3 linked regions of the Rattus norvegicus genome follow. The protein of the gene in region 1 interacts with the protein of each later gene in a pairwise test. Links are inferred from orthologs where the notes say so. Each region holds a gene or a part of one and is shown on either strand. Other genes may lie near its edges. The genes, in order: Rap1b, Ralgdsl2 and Ralgds.

What was found.
Region 2: the proteins of Rap1b (region 1) and Ralgdsl2 interact in a two-hybrid assay, tested with the Homo sapiens proteins (2 studies listed by BioGRID and IntAct). The link is inferred for Rattus norvegicus from reciprocal best matches to the Homo sapiens genes RAP1B and RGL2.
Region 3: the proteins of Rap1b (region 1) and Ralgds interact in binary tests that used the Homo sapiens proteins (3 or more experiments, as listed by UniProt). The link is inferred for Rattus norvegicus from reciprocal best matches to the Homo sapiens genes RAP1B and RALGDS.

What each region holds. Positions count from the first base shown.
Region 1 is NC_086025.1:55,314,689-55,318,332, reverse strand, and holds part of Rap1b (ras-related protein Rap-1b precursor), read left to right. Parts: intron 1-414; coding exon 415-483; intron 484-1,848; coding exon 1,849-1,905; intron 1,906-2,736; coding exon 2,737-2,877; intron 2,878-3,644. UniProt on the Homo sapiens protein: GTP-binding protein that possesses intrinsic GTPase activity. Contributes to the polarizing activity of KRIT1 and CDH5 in the establishment and maintenance of correct endothelial cell polarity and vascular lumen.
Region 2 is NC_086038.1:4,955,328-4,959,521, forward strand, and holds the start of Ralgdsl2 (ral guanine nucleotide dissociation stimulator-like 2), read right to left. Parts: upstream 2,809-4,194; 5' UTR 2,732-2,808; intron 2,529-2,731; 5' UTR 2,487-2,528; coding exon 2,331-2,486; intron 1,288-2,330; exon of another isoform or gene 1,154-1,287; intron 1,063-1,153; coding exon 979-1,062; intron 742-978; coding exon 563-741; intron 458-562; coding exon 407-457; intron 323-406; coding exon 25-322; intron 1-24. UniProt on the Homo sapiens protein: Probable guanine nucleotide exchange factor. Putative effector of Ras and/or Rap. Associates with the GTP-bound form of Rap 1A and H-Ras in vitro.
Region 3 is NC_086021.1:32,267,377-32,271,020, reverse strand, and holds part of Ralgds (ral guanine nucleotide dissociation stimulator), read right to left. Parts: intron 3,608-3,644; coding exon 3,512-3,607; intron 2,828-3,511; coding exon 2,634-2,827; intron 2,387-2,633; coding exon 1,989-2,386; intron 1,288-1,988; coding exon 1,072-1,287; intron 900-1,071; coding exon 796-899; intron 434-795; coding exon 349-433; intron 1-348. UniProt on the Homo sapiens protein: Functions as a guanine nucleotide exchange factor (GEF) activating either RalA or RalB GTPases and plays an important role in intracellular transport. Interacts and acts as an effector molecule for R-Ras, H-Ras, K-Ras, and Rap.

The sequences.
Region 1 (3,644 bases):
AGAACCACAAGACATGGGACAATAAGAGAGTGGTGGTGCATCCTGCAATCCCAGCACCTGAGGCTGAAGCGAGATCCAGTTAACAGCCTGCCTGGGCTACATGGGACTGTGTTTCAAAACAAACGTAGATTGACTTTCACTTTACTGTTAATAAGATAAACCATCTTATTTGGTCATTTTAAATGGCCACCTAATGCTATGCATCCTTATCTACAGATTTAAGCTGGGCATAGTGGTGCGGGGCTATAATCCAACACTCAGGTAGGAGAGACCAGTGTGCTGTATATATCATTGAGTTCCAGATTAGCCCGAGATCATGGTGAGACCCTGTCTCAAAACATCAGATAGGTAGAGTTTACAGACTCAGATTTGCTCTTCCTTTTGGAATGTAATGCTATTTTAATTTTTTTCCAGACTGTACAGTTTGTTCAAGGAATTTTTGTTGAAAAATATGATCCTACGATAGAAGATTCTTATAGAAAGGTATGTTACTTTTTAAAGGCCTTTTGATTTTAATACAAATGTTTAGATTTATTTTTAGTTTTCAATTATCAAATGTTTTATATAAATTAAAATGAAAAGATGTTTGCTAGTAGAAAATTCATGTGCTATTTCTTGTCATTGCCTGCCTACTACTGTCAGCGATTCATAAGCATTTATACACATGAGTGCATAGACCTTCTAAGTTTATTCTGACCTCAGAACTGTGACTTCACAGTGTCACTTAACACAGCAGTCCCATATTCCCAGGCCTCGCTTCAGTCGCTGGAGAGACAAAGCCTCGGCTCTCTTACTCTTCTGGAGGCGGCCTCCAGTGGGCTTCCCTTCCTTGCTACTTAATGCCTCCTTAAGACTGCTACCGCAAAAAAAGTGAGTCCTGGTGTTTGCTAACACAGCACATGTTAATAAAACAGTGTGTAGACATTTTAAATTTAACAGTGTGAGAGTTGTCCCTCTACCTTTCTGAAGCACCTGGCCCTCCATTGTGAAGATCAGCATTTCCATTTTACCACTTGCCTACCACAAAACTGGAAACTCTTTCCTACAACCTAGCTGTAAAGCAGAAGTAGTCGTTTCCTTCTGTATCTAATTCGAAATAAATTTCATTCCTAGAAAATGTTAGAAGGGATAACACGGGTATGTACTTCATTTCATAATTCTGACACTGCTTCCTTGCCTCCAGAAATTTGTGTTCCAGTATGATGAGACAGTAGATGTCTAGGGAAATAAAGGCATATCCAGAGTGCTAGAGGAGAGCTAGTGGGCAAAGTCACGCTGCACTGTTACAACTCTTGTTTTCCTACTTACCTGTTTTGAAGCCATTTCTATTCCAAAATTAGTGTTGAGCCAGTCTCATTGTGGCTGAATCTTCGTGACTTATTGGGACTTGGAGTTGGTATCTCACTAGAATTTGGGGTGCTTTGAAGTTGGATGACTGCATTGGTTGCTTTTCTATTGCTGTGATAAAACACTATGAACAAGGAAATTAAAGGAAGGAAGCATTTATTTGGGCCTACTGTTCCATGGGTTACAGTCCATCATGACAGCAGGCCACTGTCATAGCAGCATGCAGAACAGAGCAAAGCAGAGAGCAAGCTGGTCCTCAGCGCTGCACTCATCTCACCGCCCCAGCCCTCCCAGACAGCAGCACAAGTGGGAGCCATAAACTGGGCGGTTCTTACTAAGAACTGCTGTGGTGACTGAGTAGTCTTTAAGTACTGTTTGGTATTGCCCTGTAACGGAGTTCCCATAACTTCTTTTCTGTTGTGCTCTTTATTGTTGTGGATATTTTAAAGTAGTTTTACATGCATTAAAAATAAAGGAATATTTTAATTATTTTTTCTTCAGCAAGTTGAAGTAGATGCACAGCAGTGTATGCTTGAAATCCTGGATACTGCAGGAACGGTATGTAAAATAAAATTATCAAAGATATGCAGTGTATAGTACATACATAAGGTTTTTAAATGTTGCACTTTCTAAATGCAGTATATCAGTAACAAAGATTGTTTAAATGCTAGAGTGGAGATTTTCATGGTCTGTGGTGGTACTAGTTCATTTAAGACCGTCTATTACATATTTCAGATAATGTTGATAATGTTTGGGTGCACATTTATTCTTTGATGGCTATTATGAAATTGTTATGTTTGGTAGCTATCCTGGGAAGAACTTTGAAGTAACTATCAATTCTGTAATGAAATGCCTGTAGCCAACTAACTTTGTAAATATAGGTTTGTTTTGGTTTTTCTGGAGGTGCAAGGTCTAAGAACTGAATCTCGTGAGGCTTTGTTCCTGACAGAACCCCAAGATAGTTCATAACAAATGGCAAGACATAGGAACATACATACCTGTGTCTCTCCCCTCGTATAAGAAGCCGTTTCACCTAACAACTTTTTGCTTCCCAAAGACCTCACATGCTACATCCATGGGATTACTTTCTGCCCTCTGGATACCTCAGAATGAGGGTTAAATTTTGAAGCCTTTGGGGCTACTCAGTCATTGAGACCATAACAACCAATTAGGTTTGTAAGTATCCAAAAGTAAGGGAAGGATTCCGGGTACAAAAATGCCATACACAGTTCTTCTCCACAAATGCCCACACCCTAGTGAAGACCTGTAGAAAAAAATAGCTGTAAGAAGTGTTTGGTGATGCTACAGTATTCTTCATTAGGCCGTTAGTGTAGGTTTTCAATGATCTAACTTGGTATGAAAACAAGTCTTTCACTCTTCCTACTACAGGAGCAGTTTACAGCCATGAGAGATCTGTACATGAAGAACGGACAAGGCTTTGCGTTGGTTTACTCCATCACAGCACAGTCGACATTTAATGACTTACAGGATCTAAGAGAGCAGATTCTTCGGGTTAAAGACACTGACGATGTAAGCAGACTCCACAATGAATACTTAGATTTATTCCAAACCTCTAGTTAATATTCCATTTTAAAATTTAAATATTCACTCAGCTTAATTGGTTTTTTGAGACAAGAGTTTCTTGGTGTAGCCCTGGCTATCCTAGAACTCACTCTGTAGACCAGACTGGCCTTGAATTGAGAGATTTGCCTGCCTCAGTCCTCCAAGCGCTGGGATTAAAGGTGTCTATGACCAACATCCAACTTGCCTTTTTTTTTCCTATTTTTTTTTAAATAGTCTAAGTGTTTGTTGCTCAGGCGAGATATCCTGTCTGATCTCCGGATACTAGAACTACTACCTCCTAGCTTTGTATTGCCTATTTTTAGACCATGCATTTGTGGAGATGCAGCAAGGATGTGGGAGAGAGATATTAATAGAGCAGGCTGTGTGTGGCTACATTCACGGTAGACTTAACGGACTCTCCCTATAGTCCAGGCTGGCCTTGAACTTGGAGCAGGCCTCCTGCCTTCTCCCGAGTGCTGGGTCGATGGACACAGCCTTTTAAAGGAATATCTAGCCACATTTATCTCTGACCATATGTCTATATTATGTCTCTATTGAAAAAGGAACATAATGTTAAAGGAAAAGAGCCAATATGTTCAACTCTAAAACATTGATTTAGGGGTCCCTGCAGAATGAAGCATAATAGAGTCTGAAATCTATACATTTCAGAAAGATGGCTTTAATTCCCTATTACCTGTGGCATTGATTCTTAAGATTCTTTGATCTTGTATCAG
Region 2 (4,194 bases), on another chromosome or scaffold:
TGGGGTCAAAGGTCAAGGTCTCACCGCATCAAGCAGGGTCAGCTGTTCGGCCAAGTGGTCAGCGAGGAACACCAGGACATCCGTGGGGTCAGCAGGGGAATCGTCAGGAAGGGCCAGGGGCTTAGGAAGGTCGGGGGCCCGGGGGTCCACCCGGGCCCGGAGGTTTCGGATGAGGTCAGCACTGCCCCCCACAACACCCTCCCGTGCTGCATACCCTGTCCGAAGCAAGAAGCTCTCAAGCCGGTCAAGTTGACCCTTGACCTCAGAGCCAAAATCCTCAGGGTGAGAGGCCAGCCAGGTTGAAAGTACAGAGATGGCTACCCTGAGAGAAGGGGAACCAGCCAGGGGTCAGAGGTCCAGCCTCAGCTCCCTCTGAGCAGACTGCGGTTCAGACAGGGCCACTCACCCTGTGGTCCTCTCTAGCTCGCCCGGAGGATGCGATTCGAGGGCTTCCAGCCTGGGAAGGAGGAGAGAGTCTACCTTGCAGCTTTTTCAGCCCCCACCCGGGTGCTGAGAGTTACTCAGAGGGAATCCAGGAGCCTCCTCACCCTTGGCTCCTGACCTGTCAGCCACAAGCCCAAACAGGGCAGGAGTGGAGGTGAAGGCCCGGTGGGTGGCCAGCAAGGCTGGAGTGAACGTCATGTCAGCCCCTGATGTCCTGGCATCCAAGAGGTGTCTGACCAGGGCCTCCAGAGTACCAGCACGGAGCCTTCGGGAGGAGCGAGGCGGAGGCAAGGGGGCCTGGAGAACATGGAGGGTGTCTCACTGATGGTCTCCTCAATCTTACTGCTAAACATCATCTAGGATAGTCCAGATCTAGTTTTTTTTTTTTTTTTTTCTCCACAGTTCAGAGTTCAGACATGGCTTAAATCACACAAGAGTGCTACCAGACCTCCAATCTAGTGCTCTGGCCAAAAAAAAAAAAAAAAAAATCAAATTAAAAACTGAATGTCAGGACCGCAAAGCTTATGATCTCACCGAGGGATCAAGAGGCCTATACTGGCGGCTTGTGACAGTAAAGGTCGCACCATCCTCCTCCTCATCCCAGATTGACACAGAAGCCTGGAGGAGCAAGAAGAGGAAGTGAGTTCCACAGCACCTCCAGTCCCCAGCCATCGTCCCCAGGCCCTGCTCCTCCCTCTGCACCCCTCACCTGCGATGGCAGGGGACAATACCAGCGAGTTCGAGGGGTAGAGGGTACTGGTGACCCCAGGTCTACCCCACCCTGGGGCTCAGACAGCCCCACTAGCCACCTCAGAGCTCCGTTGAAGAGGTTGGAGTCGGGGTTTCAATTGAATGCAGGAACCCCACTTCTGGTCGCCCCCAAATCCCCTTGCCCCCACAGCTGAGCCCAACACAGCAGAAAAGCGGGGTGCAAAGTCACAAGCAGAGCGCCCGAAGAAGCGCAAAGCCAAAGGCGGAGAGACCTGAAGCTGAAACTTCACAAGACCCGCCCTCCCTGACTGAACCAGAGGAGCCCAAATTCCGCAGACTCCCTTCCCCGGATCCCCAATACAGCTTCCACTCAATCTCAGCACTGGGGACCCCCTGAAGGTGGCGGCTCCAATCCCAGTTACAAGAAGGGGAAGTAGGGATGATGGGGGGGTGGGGGCGGTAGACTAAGAGTCATGTGGCCCTAGCCCCTCCCCCGACCGATCCCGAAAAACCAGCCTTGCCAGTCACCCTAACTTTACCAATGTCGGGGCCCAGAAGTCTGAGTCCTCAGGCTCCGATTCTAACTTCTGAACCCTCCTGAAACCCTAAATCCTGCAGCTACAGTCACAACTACTAATCCCTAAGGACGAAGATGACCACGCTCTACCTATCCTGGGATCATCTCTCCAGGTGCCAGAACCTCTTGGCTCGCTGCCCTTTATTGAGCACCAGGGGGTGGGGGAAGAGGCGGTGAAGCCAGAGGCTTCCCTCCCCAATCCTAGAGTCTGAGGAGCCGGTTACTGTGGAAACAAACCCCTCCCAGCCAAACAAAAACGAGGAGGGAGACAGGGACCAAGACACAACTAACTGCCCAGTGGCAGCCGTCAGAGGCAGGTGTGGGCAGAGGGGGCCTGAGCCCCGCAGGCACAGCCATCCTGCCTGCCAGCCAGACATTCCAGGCAGGAACTCGGCAGGTTCCTGCGGGCGGGTTCCGAGTCAGACGGACAGGGCGAACTTCAGAGACACCAGGACCCGCAGCCAGGGGACAGATATCCAGAGAAAGAGCGTGGCGGGGTGAAAGGGAGGCAGGGAGGAAGAGACCGAGGGACCCAGAAACACCAAGAGAAGAGTCTCAGAAATACTTAATGCCTTTCCTCCCGCCACCCGCGTCTCACCTCTTCTTCTTCCTCCTCCTCTTCCTCCTGCCCCCCGCCCACGGCCCGGCCACCTGGGTCCCCACCCTCTTCGGGGTCCCGGCTCCGGAAGCTGCTCAACACGACTCCCCCGGGGGGGTTCGTGTCCAAAAGCAGCCGCAGGGGCCGCGGGAGCATGGCCGAGAGAAGGAATCAGCGGGGTCGGGCCATTGGGGGTGCCTGGGGAGAGACGGGTGGGATTGGGGTGGAGTCAGACGGGCGTGGGGACTTGGGCACGAAGGGACCTGGGTGGGAGTCCCTCAGGAAGGCTGGGGGGGAGGGGAGATACAGGAGTAGGGAAACCCGAGCCCTCGGGGCGTGCTAGGGGTTAGGGGCATAACTACTGCGGAATGGGCAGGGTCACCCGGTGCTCCGGCTCTGACCTGCTCGGGAAGGGTGAGGGGCTGCGCGCGGGTCCCGGGCCTCTGTTCTTGTCGGTCTCTGGCCCTCTACCGAGTCCCCTCCCTGGCTTTTCCGCGATGCCCCCTCCTGCACCCCGCCGGGCTCCCGGGCCCTCCCGCCCTTTCCGCTTCCCCCCTCCCCGCGTCCGCCCGACAGCAGGAGCCAAAAAGGGAAGGAAGTGAGGACAGGAGCCAGGGCTACCGACTAGGGGAGTGCTGGATGCCAGGGGCTGGGACGCAGTCTCCAGGTGCCCCACTCCACTGTCCCCTACTACCCTACTCGGGGATTCCGAAGCCCATGCCTCCCAGCACAGGCAGGCGGGAGGTCAGGGTCCTGTCTCAAGCCTCCACGGGAGGGCAAGTACGGGATTTTAAATCACTTTCTCTAACGAGAGCAGTGAGTGCAGCAACTCCCGAGGGAAGCGCCCTAGTGAGGGCGCGACCCCGTTACTGGGGCCCCAGAATGACACCACCCGCGCCAGCACGAGTGCAGCGGAGCAAATCCGCGCCGAGTTTTCTGAGCCGCCCTTAAGCCCGCCCACTCGCGCGGGGAGGGGGACGGAAGTCGGCTAGTGCGCCACTTCCGGTTTTACTCTGGTCCGTCGCTCCCGGCCTCCGGCTCTCGCGGTGCGCCAGAGCGCACTCAGTTCCTAAGATGGCTGTGTCATCGCCCCGCGTGTGGGAAGACTGGAGGGGGACCAAGATGTTGGCTGTGCTTGGAAACCAGAGAACGAGAGACCCTCATGAAAACTCTAAAAGACTTTATTGGCTCACGAGGCCCGGCAGACAGGAGTGGACAGCCATCCTTTAAGTACAGCCGGTGGACTGCACGGGGGACGCTCGTGAAAGGACGAGGCAAAGGAAACTCTGTGGTACGAATGGACGGCTGGAGAGGTAGGCATTAGTACTCCATAGGCGACACATGTACCCCTTCGTCTCTAGACTACTGTTGTGGGTTGTCCCAAAGGTCCCTAGAACGCTAAGATGCTATGTGGCCCTATCGTCAATTCCCTGGGCAGTGGTTCTCAACCTTCCTAATGTTACAGTCCTATAACACCGTTCCTCTAGTTGTAAAATTCTTTTGTTACTTCGAAACTGATTTTGCTACTGTTGTGAATCCTAATGTAAATAAATGTCTGGTATTCCCGATGGACTTAAAGGGGTCATGACCTACAGGCTAAGAACCGCCTCTCTAGGGCATACAGTAGTGTCCCGTCCCCCCCCCCCCCCAGGTGAGGACGGAACCCAGGGCCTTGCGCTTGCTAAGCAAGCGCTCTACCACTCAACCCCCAGTGGTTCTTCTTGACCTGTGAATATATGTTCTTGTATTTGGTTCTCTCAACAAAGCCCTGCTACGACACCCTGACTGACCTGAAACTCCTTATTGTAGACCAGGCTGGCATGGAAATCAGAAATCCACGTACCTCTGCCACGTGCCTTGCCAG
Region 3 (3,644 bases), on another chromosome or scaffold:
GGACAAGCCTGGCACCACAGAGACAGAACGGGCTGGCTCAGGGAAGTTGCCCCCTCTTCCATCGGCCATTGGTCTGCCAGTGGCTAAGGCCCAGCAGGAAGCTGCAGACCTGCTAATCCGGCTGCTTCATCTTCCCGCAGCAGCCTGGCTGGCTGTCCCCACTACATCAGATTACCAGAGGCCTACCGTTCCACCAAATGCCTGCCACCTGTCCAAGGAACAAAGCCATCCTCCCCTCCTGTCCAGTCCTGACAGGACTGGAAGTCAGCCAAAAGCTTGCAGTGAGGAACTGAAACCCTGCCATTTCCTGCCTGCTCCCCTTCCCCGACACTGTGGCTGCCACCTCACCTTGATGAGCAGCTCTCTGCTCAAGGAGTAGTTGTTCTCATCAGAGAAGATTTCTGACAGTTTCTGGAACACTCGAAAGCTGCCCCTGGAGGAGGCACAGAGTGAAGGCAATGGTTGGGAAGAGCGTGCACCAGGGCAAGCATGGTGCGTACCAGGGCAAAACGGTGGGGAGCCCGTTTTCCCGTACAGCAAAGATTCTGAGCTGCTGGAGAAGAATCCTAAACGTGGTTCCACTGAAGACCACCTGAGTATGCAAAACTGTGTTTTGCTTTTAGCTGGACAGCTCTGTGGCTGTGTGCAAGCACGAGACACTTGCCTGGCTCTAATCAGGGTGTGCACACTGAGCTGTGCCTACCAGTGGGCCCATCCCTCCATCTTTGCTGCTGGGCCTCACTGAAGGCAGAGACAGCTTGGGGTACAGTAGGGGTTGGGGACGGGGAGGCCTACCTGGAGACCTCTTCCCATGTCTTCTTTAGGCGGTGGATGGCATTGCTCTGTAGGGCAGAGAGGATGGCGTAGAGGGAGGAGAAATTCTTGAGCACCCTGCACTCCTGGGGACAAGGAGTCTGTGAGTGGAGCCCATGGACGAACTTCCTTAATGGCAGGAAGCTCCCAGAGGGCATGCCAGGGACACACGCTCACACAGCACCCAAGTGTACAGTTCCAGGAGAGTGCATGCCAGCTGTGTGGCCCTGAGGTCCCCAGGACCCCCCTATAGCCTACCCTGGCCACCTCGATCCAGTGTTCCACCACCCGGGCCCTGTCCGAAGCTTTCATACTCTGGTCCCCAAGGCAGGTGGTGATGACACAGTTGGCCACGTTGTTGAACTGGGCGACAGTGGCACGGATGGTGGGCGCGAGGTGCTCCTTGCCCTTCTTGTCCCGCTGGGACCAGATGGAGCCCAGGCAGTGGTAGGGCACAACTTTCTTGAATAGCTCCTAGGGAGGGGATCAGTGTCACTGGGCCCTGCACAGCCCAAGGCAAAGGCTGCAGCACTTAAGAGTGAGGATGCGTCTGAGCCTGTGCGACTCTCGCCCCTCCACCTGACTTCTGAGGGCACCCAATGCAAGGCAAAGTAGGAAAAATGAAGGGGAGAAGAAACATACACACAGCAGTGGCTCCTGCCTCTCATCTCAGAGAGCATCTGCTGCCCCTCCCCAGTGGGCACGTCACAGCCTGCCCTGTGTCCCGGTCTCCCGTGCACGGCAAGCACTTCACAATGCTGAGGTTAGGGGTGGAATGGAGGAGGGTGGCCCAGGCACACCTCAGCAAGCACTCCTCCATCCCTAAGAGGCCAGCATGCAACACGCAGTCACGCACGCACCCCCACACACACACGCACTCATGCACACACGCACCCCCACACACGTGTACACACACACACACACACACACACACACACGCACTCATGCACACACGCGCGCACACACACACACACACACACACACACACACACTCTTCATGACCACCATGGGGGTGGGAAATCAATGCTTTGGGTTAAGTAGAATGCCCTAATCACATGTTTGTTAAGAGTGGAGCTAGGACTTGCCCTGGGACAGAGGCTCTGAACCAGAAAACAGGTCTAGACAGCAGAGGACAAAAGGAGGCCTGCCCCGCCCCGCCCCCGTGAGCCACTCACTGCGTCCATCAGCGTAAACTGTTCAGCCACCAAGTCTGGAGGGAACAGCAGTAGGTGAGGCTTTGCACACAGTCCGTTCTCCGTGGTTTCAGGCAGAGGCCAGGAAGGCTCTAATGCAGGAGCGGGCACGGGAGCGGGCTCGAGGTGGAGGCTCTGTGAGACAGTGGGGTCCAGCTCTGGAGCAGGTGCGAGGGTTGGCTCAGGGTCTAGGGGCGGCTCCAGAGCTGGTTCTAGCTCAGAGGCTGGCGCCACCACCGGGCTGGATGCCAGTACTGGCACCGGGGCTGGCTCTCGGACTGGAGTGGATGCCACAGCTCGGCTGGGCGTCAGAAGCAGGGCGGGAGCTGGTTCTAGCTGTGAAGCTGGTTTCAGAGACAGCACTGGAGCTGGGGACAGGGCTGCAGGAGAGAAGATGTCCACTATGGCAGCCTTGTCCAGAGCATTTTCAAGACAGAGAATCACCAACTGCCAGAGAACAAAGCCCTGTTCCCACAACAAGAGGCTACCCCAGACTATGGTATACTACCCACTGGGTGGGTCCCAGGCTGGCTCTTGCTCCTGGCCCAGTGGTTGGAGCCTCTCTGTGGTAGAAACAATTACTGACCCCTCCTAGCAGGTTCTGTGTAGCTACCCCTGGCTCCTCACCCTCAGGCTCAACCTCACTGGGCTCCAGGTCCTCCAGCTGGGCCAGGAGAAGGTGAGCACGGCGCTCCAGGTCTGAGCCAGGCATGTTGAGCTGCACATAAGCCACCAGCTGCTTGAGGCAGGGAAAGTCCGGGGGTTGACAGAAGTCCTCGGAGTATTGGTCCAGCCAGGTGCCCAGGATGGAAGAGATGGCACTGGGGACAGGCAACAGAGTCAGAGGCATGGTTTCTCCTCCCATCCTCCCACAGCACCCTGATGTGCCCCCACCCACGTAACTAGACAGAGGCTACAGAGGATCCTACAGGAGAGAGCGAAGGCTCATCAATGGAATGGGGGGCTCTCCTGGTTCTTTAGGGAACCGTCCCCACTCCTGATGGAACACAGATGCCTCAAGGGTCTGTCCTCTAGTCTGCCATTCACCCAGCGGCGAGGGTTACCTCAGCACCTATTCTTTTTGAGCTGGGTGTGGGTTGCATTTTTCTGAGGGACACGGGGACCAGCTAAGCGCCCATTCCTAAGGAGTGAGGCTGCATGTCTATTGAGATAGGCTATACAAGGGAAGGATTTTCACAGTGACTGCTTCTCTCTCTCTCTCTCTCTCTCTCTCTCTCTCTCTGTCTGTCTGCCTGCCTGTCTGTCTCTCTCTCTCTTACACACACACACACACACACACACACACACACACACACACACACACACACACACACACCCCTCTACTCAGCTCCTTGAAAGTGCAGTATCACCCTGAATTCTATCTTCCTTCGGATACAGGAAGAGCCTTAGACCTCAGCCCAGCAGCAGGAACCAGATGTGTGGGGCCTATAGTTTGCTCAGCCCTTGTTCCCCAAACCTCCCCTCTGGACTAAAAGCCTACTTACTTTTTGAGTTGGTCCTGTGGTCCGCCGTCCTCACTGGAGTAGGGAAGGATGCAGCCATATCTAGAGGAGGCCGTGAGGGCGTCACATCTACCGTACCTGCTTACGATGTCTAGTGTTACTGGTCAACTCCCTG